Macaca fascicularis: one gene and its partners. The protein of the gene in region 1 purifies or fractionates together with the protein of each later gene. This does not show direct contact. Links are inferred from orthologs where the notes say so. Each region holds a gene or a part of one and is shown in the gene's direction. Other genes may lie near its edges.

Region 1 (3,650 bases):
CCACATAGCATTGGTTTGGTATATTCCTTTTATTTACCCCTCTGAGCTCTAGCTTTCTTTCTTCAGATAGGAACTTGTCATATTTTCTATACATTATCATATTCCAAAGTAAAAGACTCTTCACTGTACACAAAAACCGTTTTGACCTCTTACCACATTTTCATCTTCACAGCATACTTGCATGTATGTGCTGTTTTCCCCACGTTCTAGAAACGAAAGCAAACTATAGCGCTAGGCACTTTCACAAATATGCTCTCATTTAACTCTCATTGAGTGAATTGTAACAGTTACTTCTATTTTATATGTGAGGGACAGAATCTCAGGAAGGTTTGCATGCATACTACTCAAAATTGAACATGCAGTCGAATCACTTGAGGCTCTTTGTAAAATGCAGATCCAGGGTCTGTAAGTCTAGGGTGGGGCCTGTGAGTTGGCATTTCCAACAAGCTCCTCAGTGACCAGTGCCCCTGGTCACAGACCACATTCTGGGTGAACTGGAAGGGCCTGGATAAGCTACGAAGCTCACATGGCTGGGGAGAAGCAGCCTGACTCAGAGCTTCTGTTAGCTGCCATTTGGCCCCCAGCACAATGCTGCGCACGGCACCTTTACTGAAGAGGTGTTCCTTGAGTGGCTGGTGGCTTTCCATGGAAACGGTTTGAAATGGATTATCAACAAACACATTTTCAGTCATTGTCAACACATGCCAGAACCACATCATCTGCAACAATTTTTGACTCAATTTGAGTTTATTTACTTTTGCTGTCAAACAATAAATGAAAGACGTGTCTTCATATCAGTAGAGTCCCGTTTCTCCGTCTCTTGCAATTTTGGTTTTCCAAGCCTTTTATTCATTGACAGGACATTTACTGCCTGCTTGCCATGTTTTGGGCATTTCTGTAGGCACTGGAGTTAGAAAAATGAATAAATCTCAGCAGCTGCCCTAGAAAATCATTGGGTCTAATGGGAGAGATATATGTATATAAGACTTTCAAACTTTTTTGGCAACAATCCACTATCAGAATGTTTTGCAATACAGCTGGTGCTCACATTCCTGCTACTGTAACTGAAACAAAATTTTCATGAGTCAAATTTAGTAGATGTGATACAAGTGGTATTTTCTGTTGTGTCCTATTAGTATCTTGTTTTAAAATATTGATTGTAACTTGTAGTTACAAAATATTGATTGTAACTTGTAGAAACACAGCAGATAAATTACAATGATAAATGCTGTGGTAAAGACCTAAAGTCTTCATGTCAATAAAGTCGCATTTCTCTGTGGGGGATTCCAAAGATAGGGCATCTTGCTCTGTGATGTGGAAGGTGCAGGACTACAGTCCCAGATGGTGCACAAGTAGAAGGCAGAATTATAAAAGGCTCTGTGTGGGAGGCCGAGACGGGTGGATCACAAGGTCAGGAGATCTAGACCATCCTGGCTAACACGGTGAAACCCCGTCTCTGCTAAAAAAATACAAAAAACCAGCCGGGCGAGGTGGCAGGCGCCTGTAGTCCCAGCTACTCGGGAGGCTGAGGTGGGAGAATGGCATAAACCCGGGAGGCGGAGCTTGCAGTGAGCTGAGATCCGGCCACTGCACTCCAGCCTGGGCAACAGAGTGAGACTCTGTCTCAAAAAAAAAAAAAAAAAAAAAAAAAGGCTCTGTGTTCTATGCTCTGGATGATTTTCTCCTGAAAGCATCGGAGACCCAAGAGGAACTACTTCATACATCTCCTGGACAGTAACATGATTAATTGGAGTTTCCAACAAATAATTTTAATCACAGACTGTATCAACAGGGTATGCTGGTTACAGGGAGATTGGTTAGAATGTTCTTCTGAAATTCTTGTGGCTTTTTTAACACAGCTATTTTCTGTAATCCTGTGCTACGAAGTATGATTTTGCACTTGGTCCAACCTAGGTTGAAATCCTGCTGTGTTCTTGCTAATTGTTTGAACTTAGAACAGTTTCTATATTGGTGGGACCTACTGTTGATGTCTTTGTTTTATAGATGAAAGAACTAGGGCCCAGAGAAGGAAGTGGACTTGAGCACCATCAGCACCTAGAGTGTGGTAGAGCTGGAACCAGAGCACAGGCTTCACACTTCTCTTCCAGTGTCCTGTGTTTGTGTGTGAGTTTGACAGCAAAGAACCAGTTAGCTCGAGCTCTTCGCGAAATAGCTCCTTTTCGTGTATAAATTTTACTGGGTTTTTCTTTTCTTAGCTGTCAAGTTCAAAACTCTTCCATTTTTTTAAGGAACTCCCAAGTTATTTGAAGCAACTGCTTTTAAACCTCACCATTGCCTTGACTTTGCTTAATGCAGATCAAAGACACAGCTGTCCCCTTCTATCAAGCGCAAGAGAGAAGTCAGCCCTCCTGGGGCCCGAACAAGAGGCCAGCAAAGGGTGGAGGAAGCCCCTGTGAAAAAAGCGAAGCGATAATCCTGACCACTGCTGCCCTAGGCTTATGGAGGAACACAGTGGAGAGGAAAGAGACATGCCTCGGTGGCCATAGGCTTCTCTTTAACCAGGAAAAAGATATGCATGTGCTGTAAGTCCCTAGGTGCAAGCTTTTTCTTGTTATGTTTTAAACAGCTTTATAAACTATTGTTCATAGAAGATATTATGTACATTTATTTCAGATAAAGGACAATAAGTTTACTTTGTATCTGAACTCAAAACAAAGTAGTTGTATATTTTAACATTCAAAATTGGGATTTCCCAATGTGACACATCATGAATGCAAACCCCTCCAGCCCATCAGACACCAGGCTGCCTACTGGTAATCTGTGTATAGTATATAAACATGTAAAAATAGGTTGTATTTTACTCTATGTATGATGCTAATCAATGAACACTATTTATTTTACAGAGAAAACTTATCTGTGAACTTTACTATATATCTGTTTATTTTACTTTATTATTATTTTTTTTAAATAAAAAAGGGTTTTAAATGCTATGCAGTCATTAGTAGAAAATTTTTTAGGACTCTGCCTGCCCTGTAACTATCTTAATATGATCTGGCAGAAACTCGCATGTATCCAAGTAAAGTAGTTTAGCTAAAGAAAGTTTCTCCATTGCTTTTCTGTTCACAGTCGTGGCTCTGTTTTTTAAGAATGTAACGTTTTTAGATTATACTTGCATCTGTGACTTTACTACCAGCCCCATTGACATAAAACAGGTTCTGGTTCAGGTAAAGTTGCGTCAGTCACCTGCAGCAGAAACCCTCTCTGCTGGTGTTCATTCCCCTGCTCTGTGCTGTTCTGAAGCTTCTACCAATACTCTTTCCATATTGTCTTTTTCAGTGAAGAGAAATGCATTCAAGATTAGGTCCCTCCTGTCTATCCAGTTTCAGGATTTTATGTTGTTTTATACACAGTTGTTTCAGTATAGAAACTGGCTTTATTGCCAGGTGTTTTTTTAAACATGTTTTAACTCTCATATGAGCAAACTGTCCAACTTCAGTTTTTCATAAGATTAAACTTCTTACGATCAAATTTGTCTCTTGCAATGATGTGATGAGTTGCCAAATAATTGAGATTATTTTTAAATGTTTTGTTCATATTCTTGTTTTATAATTAAAATTTACATTCAGTGTGTATGGGTTTTTTTTTTTATTTTTATTTTGACTCTTAATGTCAGGTGGATATTTCTGTCA
Region 2 (4,311 bases), on another chromosome or scaffold:
ATTATTATTGGTGGAGGCGGCGGCCAGCACCAGTCCATAGTTCATTGGTTGTTGTTCAGGAGATGAAGCGCTGGTGAAATATAGCTGGTTTCCAGGACGGTGTGGTCATTGCAGTTTTGACCAATTCAAGGGTTCCAGGCAAGTTCCTATTGTGTTTTAGTTTTGGTTTGTTTGTTTTCCTTTTTGCAAGTTTGCGAGGAGTCCTTAGAATGGCTTCCAGGCGGAGCGGGCGCGGTGGTTCACGCCTGTAATCCCAGCACTTTGGAGGGCCAAGGCTGGCGAATCACCTTAAGTCGGGAGATCCAGACCATCCTGGCCAACACGGTGAAAGCCCGTCTTTACTAAAAATACAAAAAATTAGCCGGGCGTGGTAGCGCAAGCCTGTAATCCCAGCTACTCGGAAGGCTGAGGCAGGATAATAGGTTGAATCCGGGAGGCGGAGGTTGCAGTGAGCCGAGATCGCGCCATTGCACTCCAGCCTGGGCAACAAAAGCGAAACTCCGTCTCAAAAAATAAGTAAATAAATAAATAAAAATTAGAAAGAATGGCTTCCAGGCTCCATTTTACAGCTGTTAACCAGAGTGACACCGTTTTGTATATCACATTTCACAAGAGATAATCAGGTATGAGCATACAGATCTATGTTTAAGAACGTTCGTTGCAACTTTATTTAGAATAATATTTAAAAATGTTCTAAATGCTAAACAATAAATCAATGTAAACTGTGCTTAGGCTTATTGTGCAGCTTATAGAACTAAAATAAAATTTGATATTAGTGTAACAATTGTTTTTAAATAAAAATAAAATAAATAGAAGCCGAACCGTGCCAGGCCTGGCAGAAGAATGACAAGTGGGAGGAGTGAGAGCCGGAAAGAGTGGTGGCAGGTGAAGTCGGAGACGACAGAGGAACTGGTTTCCTCCGCCCCGCAAGGCACACAGCCTGCCGACACCCCATCAATACATGTGGAAGGGGAAAGAGACAGAATGGAGGAATGAATACAACTTGATCCAGGTAGCGTTTCGGGAGCGGCCGCTTTACCTGTGAACCTCTCTGCCTGACAAGCGGCCAATATACGGTATCAACCACCAAGATGGCGGCGCCCTTGAGGAATCCGCAAATAGGTCGCCGCCATGTGTCGCCAAGGAACGTACGAATTCGCCCCTCGTACGGAATCAGATTCCAAGATGACGGCATCTATGAGGAAGTCACGCAGTAGGTGCAGCCATGTTGCCTGTACGTCCAGGCCGTACTAGCAGCCGCCGTACGGACTCTACTGACAAGGTGGCGACGCCCTCGGGAAAGCCACAATTGAGCGCTGCCATGTTCCCGGCGAACGTGTGGATTCGGCCACCATACGGATACGATAATCAAGATGGCGGCGCCTGAGGGTTCTTCGGGGGCTCTAGGCGAGCGACCTACTGGTTTGCGGCGGAGACGACGCACGGGGCCTGCGCAATAGGAGTACGCTGCCTGGGAGGCGTGACCAGAAGCGGAAGTAGTTGTGGGCGCCTTTGCAACCGCCTGGGACGCCGCCGAGTGGTCTGTGCAGGTTCGCGGGTTGCTGGCGGGGGTCGCGAGGGAGTGCGCCGGGAGCGGAGATATGGTGAGTACCGGGTTCAGGGAGGGGTTCGGCGGTGGAGGTTGGTGGGGTTGGCAACAGTGGGGTCTGTCGGCCGACTCAGGGGTCTGTGGTGAGCCGTAACCGGAGTCTGTGGACTGAACGGCGGGAGTCTGTGGGCAGAATGATGAACCATCTGGGAGTTCTATGGTGAGCCACGGTGGGGGAGTCCTTAATAGAAGTTTAGTGGGGACTCCGGGTGGCAGTTCCGTGGGAAACCGTGATCGGGGATTGTGAGGAGTCACACTGGGTGGTCTGTAGTGAGCCGTGACGAGGAGTTCGTGTCCGGGGATCCGTGGACAGCCGCGACTGGGGGTGGGTGCGGGTGCCAGGTGGGTCTATGAGGTAAACAGGGAGGGGTGCGTAGAGAACCGCGATGGGAAGTCCGCAGTGAATTACGCGGGGTCTGTGAGGCGCCACGATGGAGGATCGCGATGGCCCATTAGCGAGTATGGACGCAGGGAGCGGGTGTCGGTGGGTGCGTGATGGGAAGTATGGAGCAAAGTAATAGGATGTCAGGGGAAGGGATGGAGGTCAGTGGGGACTGTGATGGAGAAGTTTTTGGGGGGCCCCGATGTGAAATCTGCAGGCAGAGTGGGGATCCCTGCTGACCATGGTGGAGCTGTAATGGGATAAGCCGCCACGGTGGGGGCTGTTTAAGGATCCGTAATGGGGGTATCCCGCAGGAGGGAGATGGTTCAGACCCAGAACCTCCAGATGCTGGGGAGGACAGCAAGTCGGAGAATGGAGAGAATGCGCCCATCTACTGCATCTGTCGCAAACCGGACATCAACTGCTTCATGATGTGAGCCCGGGAGAGGTGGGCGGGGCAGACACTAGCAGGGTGGGGTGAGGCCGATGGGCCGCGCCCCTCACATCTCCACCGCCTGCCCCATCCTCCGCAGCGGGTGTGACAACTGCAATGAGTGGTTCCATGGGGACTGCATCCGGATCACTGAGAAGATGGCCAAGGCCATCCGGGAGTGGTACTGCCGGGAGTGCAGAGGTGAGGGCCATGGATGGACAGGGAAGGCAGGTGGGGCTTCAAGGGAGGAGGAGGAGCCATAATGGGGGGTCATGGGGAGTAGTGATACACGTCTGTGGTGAGCTGGAATGGGGTCTCCATTGTGAGTGGTAGTAGAAGATTCCACGGGAAGAGGCAGCTCTGCCCTGGACAGGGGTGCAGAGTAGGTGGGTGGGATAGTAAGGGAGAGAAGAGGAAGAAAGAGGTTTTGGGACCGTTCAGGCCCTCCAGTGCTCACTCACTTTGGCCCTACTCTCTGCCCCACAGAGAAAGACCCCAAACTAGAGATTCGCTATCGGCACAAGAAGTCACGGGAGCGGGATGGCAATGAGCGGGACGGCAGTGAGCCCCGGGATGAGGGTGGAGGGCGCAAGAGGCCTGTCCCCGATCCAGACCTGCAGCGCCGGGCAGGGTCAGGGACAGGGGTTGGGGCCATGCTTGCTCGGGGCTCTGCTTCGCCCCACAAATCCTCGCCGCAGCCCTTGGTGGCCACACCCAGCCAGGTGAGTGGCTGCATAAAGTGAGTAGATGTGTAAAGTGGTTCCGTTTCAGCCCTGCCTGGGTCCATAATTTCTGTTCTGGGCCCCCTCCTCCAGCATCACCAGCAGCAGCAGCAGCAGATCAAACGGTCAGCCCGCATGTGTGGTGAGTGTGAGGCATGTCGGCGCACTGAGGACTGTGGTCACTGTGACTTCTGTCGGGACATGAAGAAGTTTGGGGGCCCCAACAAGATCCGGCAGAAGTGCCGGTTGCGCCAGTGCCAGCTGCGGGCCCGGGTGAGCATGGACAGAGCTGGGTAGGGTCAGGTATGGGAGAGCTGGTGGGTCCATGCATGGTTAGTGTAGTCTAGGCATGGCTAAGCCAGGTGGGATTGGGCCTGACTGTATCTAGACAGGTGGGAAGGGACCTGTCATGTCCAGATGAATGGGGCATGAGCTGGTATGCTGGGCTGGCAGAACCCCCACCAACCCTGGGTGGACAGAGTGGGGTCAGGTGTTTCCAGGTGGTCATGCACGTCAGTACAGATAAGACAGGGGCGAGCATTCCTGGTAGTAAGGGGTAGTGGGGAGGTGTGTCTGGGGAGGTAAGGCCAGGCCAGGTGGGTGGGGCTAGGGCAAGGCCGCCCTCCATCCACCTGGGGCTGACCTGGGCCTTCCTCCTGCCGGCACAGGAATCGTACAAGTACTTCCCTTCCTCGGTGAGTCCAGCTCCCCAGGGTGGGGTGGGGCATGCGGGCAGGGCGGTCAGGGCCAGTCCTGAGATTCTGCCCCGCAGCTCTCACCAGTGACGCCCTCAGAGTCCCTGCCAAGGCCCCGCCGGCCACTGCCCACCCAACAGCAGCCACAGCCATCACAGAAGTTAGGGCGCATCCGTGAAGATGAGGGAGCAGTGGCATCATCAGCAGTCAAGGAGCCTCCTGAGGCTACAGCCACGCCTGAGCCACTCTCAGATGAGGACCTACCTCTGGATCCTGACCTGTATCAGGACTTCTGTGCAGGGGCCTTTGATGACCACGGCCTGGTGAGCAGATAGGAGCATCCCCTGGTGGAAGGGTGGAGGTTACAGAAGCAGAGAGTATCCATAATGAGGAGACAGAGGGTATGGAAGGCTGATATGGGACATGAGTAGGTGGTGGGGTTGTCATGAGCGGGGCAGGTGGGTCAGTGC
Region 3 (2,312 bases), on another chromosome or scaffold:
GAGGAAGAACAGATATGTGGTCAAGATGAGCTCCAGTCTGGACATGTGGGGTTGCAGTGCCCCAGGGACATCTAGGGGACGACGCCCAGCAGCTCCACTGAGGTGGCTTTTGGCTGGAAATGGAAGTTTGGGAGGAGTCCCCACCACACAGCTGGCGGCTGAGGCTCTGGAAGGGAGTGAGGTCACCCGAGGAGGGCACGCAGAGGCTCCTCACTGTCTTCTGGGAAGTAAGGGTTGCTCCTCACAGGGGTGCGGGGCCTAACATGGGCGGCCTGCTATTTGCATTGGTCGGTGGCAGCCAACAGGTGCCTGTTTTGGAGAGAGGTCCAGGGAGGAGAGATGAGCAGGGTGCCATTGGTGACATGGCCACTGTCATTTCAGGAGCTGCCCCAGCCCCAGACTTGCCCCAGCAGTCCGGGGACCCCACTGTGATCAGGCAGATGCTCGAAGGAGCCAGTGGCTCTCCTTCCCGATGCAGATTTCCCTGGAGTCCCCTGCGGGTGACTTAGAATGGCCACCAGAGGCTTAGTATGCTGCCCCAAAGAGGGAGGGCTCCTGGAAGCAGAGTCGAGAGAGTCAGTGCCGGGTTAGCGGGAGCCGGAGGCAGAGCTGCAGCTCCAGGCCTGGTGGGCATGGACCTGGGGTGCTGGCTGGCAGGTGTGCTCGCGGGCAGGAAGTGGGGGGCTCTTCCCTGACCATCGCATCTCACCCTGACAGATGGTGGCCGACATGCGGGAGAAGCGCTACGTGCAGGAGGGCATTGGCAGCAGCTACCTGTTCCGGGTGGACCATGACACCATCATCGATGCCACCAAGTGTGGCAACCTGGCCAGGTTCATCAACCACTGCTGCACGGTGCGTCAGGGGCTGGCCGGGGCAGGAGTTCGGGGGTCGGTGGGGGTGGCCACGGCTCACATGCCCTTCCCTCCGCAGCCCAACTGCTACGCCAAGGTCATCACCATCGAGTCCCAGAAGAAGATTGTGATCTACTCCAAGCAGCCTATCGGCGTGGACGAGGAGATCACCTACGACTACAAGTTCCCACTGGAAGACAACAAGATCCCGTGTCTGTGCGGCACGGAGAGCTGCCGGGGCTCCCTAAACTGAGGTGGGGCAGGACGGGTGCCCACACCCCTATTTATTCCCCCTGGTGCCCTGAGCTCCCAGCACCCCCCAGCCTTAGTGGGCTCAGCAGGGCCCACATGCCCCCATCTCCAAGCGTGGGGTTGGGGGGCCCCAAGCCCAGCGAGGGAGCCTCAGTCCCTGGAGGCAGCTTCTGCCTCTCCTGTCGCCCCTGCCCACCACCCCCTGATTGTTTTTCTTTGCGGAGAAGAAGCTGTAAATGTTTTGTAGCAGCCAGCAGCTGTTTCCTGTGGAAACCTGGGGTGCCGGCCTGTACAGATTCTGTCCTAGGGGCTGCACAGTCCTCTCGCTTTGTGTTAATGGGGACTTCCCCTTATGCCCTGCGTGTACCCCTCCCCAGTTTAGGGGTCTCTGGGGCAGTGGCCATGTTCCCCCCCTGGGGGGGCTCTGCACCCCCAGTCCTGGGGACTCCGTGCCTGGAACCCTGCCTCATCTGTTCCTGCCAGACCCTGAGGGTCACCCTCCCACCCTGGTGTCACGCCCCGGCTCAGCCAGGCCAGGATGGCGGGGTGGGCCCCTTCTGCTGGGCTGGACTGTACATATGTTAATAGCGCAAACCTGACGCCACATTTTTATAATTGTGATTAAACTTTATTGTACAAAAGTGCTTGGTTGGTGTATTTGGGCAGGAGCAAGGGGTTGGGGGTGGAGGGCACAGAGGATTGGGCAAGATGAAGAGAGGGAAAAGTGAGTACCTGAAGTGTGAGGCTGGTAAAGGGGCCTTCAGGCAACAACCCAGACCTGTGGAGGCCCCGAGACTGCTTTGGACCCCTAGACAGGCCGTGGCAGCCGCAGCCGCACCCACACCAGGAATCCCCCACCAGTGCCCGCCAGGGCAGTGCCAAGGTCAGGCCTCCCCTTCCCAGAACCACAGCTGCAGCTGGGCCTCTGGCCTCCTGGGAAGCCCAGCGGGAGGGAAGGCCTGAGGTCACACTGTGGGATGAGGTCACCCGCTGGCTCCACCCAGAGCCCCGGACCCCTTAGCCCACTCAGCAAGTTCCAGCTTCATCACCCCAAGTTCTCTGCTGGACCCGGATGCCAGTGGAGCACAGAGTGGCCGCCAGGGGGCGCCTTAGGGCAAGAGTGGTGGGGGTTGTGGCTGGGCGGGTCTCTGTTCCTGGAATGGGGCAGGAGGGAGAAGGAGGAGCCAGCGGAAGGGGACGGTGTGT

What was found.
Region 2: the proteins of BOD1L1 (region 1) and CXXC1 purify together in Homo sapiens (affinity purification with mass spectrometry; 5 studies listed by BioGRID and IntAct, counting the BioPlex papers as one, with this or other methods). This does not show direct contact. The link is inferred for Macaca fascicularis from reciprocal best matches to the Homo sapiens genes BOD1L1 and CXXC1.
Region 3: the proteins of BOD1L1 (region 1) and SETD1A purify together in Homo sapiens (affinity purification with mass spectrometry; 3 studies listed by BioGRID and IntAct, with this or other methods). This does not show direct contact. The link is inferred for Macaca fascicularis from reciprocal best matches to the Homo sapiens genes BOD1L1 and SETD1A.

The regions. Positions count from the first base shown.
Region 1 is NC_088379.1:12,737,406-12,741,055, reverse strand, and holds part of BOD1L1 (biorientation of chromosomes in cell division protein 1-like 1), read left to right. Parts: intron 1-2,316; coding exon 2,317-2,434; 3' UTR 2,435-3,650. UniProt on the Homo sapiens protein: Component of the fork protection machinery required to protect stalled/damaged replication forks from uncontrolled DNA2-dependent resection.
Region 2 is NC_088392.1:39,454,807-39,459,117, forward strand, and holds the start of CXXC1 (CXXC-type zinc finger protein 1), read left to right. Parts: upstream 1-1,492; 5' UTR 1,493-1,601; coding exon of another isoform or gene 1,602-1,604; intron 1,605-1,683; 5' UTR 1,684-1,766; coding exon 1,767-1,769; intron 1,770-2,305; coding exon 2,306-2,424; intron 2,425-2,524; coding exon 2,525-2,625; intron 2,626-2,910; coding exon 2,911-3,146; intron 3,147-3,239; coding exon 3,240-3,419; intron 3,420-3,814; coding exon 3,815-3,841; intron 3,842-3,918; coding exon 3,919-4,164; intron 4,165-4,311. UniProt on the Homo sapiens protein: Transcriptional activator that exhibits a unique DNA binding specificity for CpG unmethylated motifs with a preference for CpGG.
Region 3 is NC_088394.1:29,162,134-29,164,445, forward strand, and holds the end of SETD1A (histone-lysine N-methyltransferase SETD1A), read left to right. Parts: intron 1-717; coding exon 718-855; intron 856-933; coding exon 934-1,107; 3' UTR 1,108-1,747; downstream 1,748-2,312. UniProt on the Homo sapiens protein: Histone methyltransferase that catalyzes methyl group transfer from S-adenosyl-L-methionine to the epsilon-amino group of 'Lys-4' of histone H3 (H3K4) via a non-processive mechanism.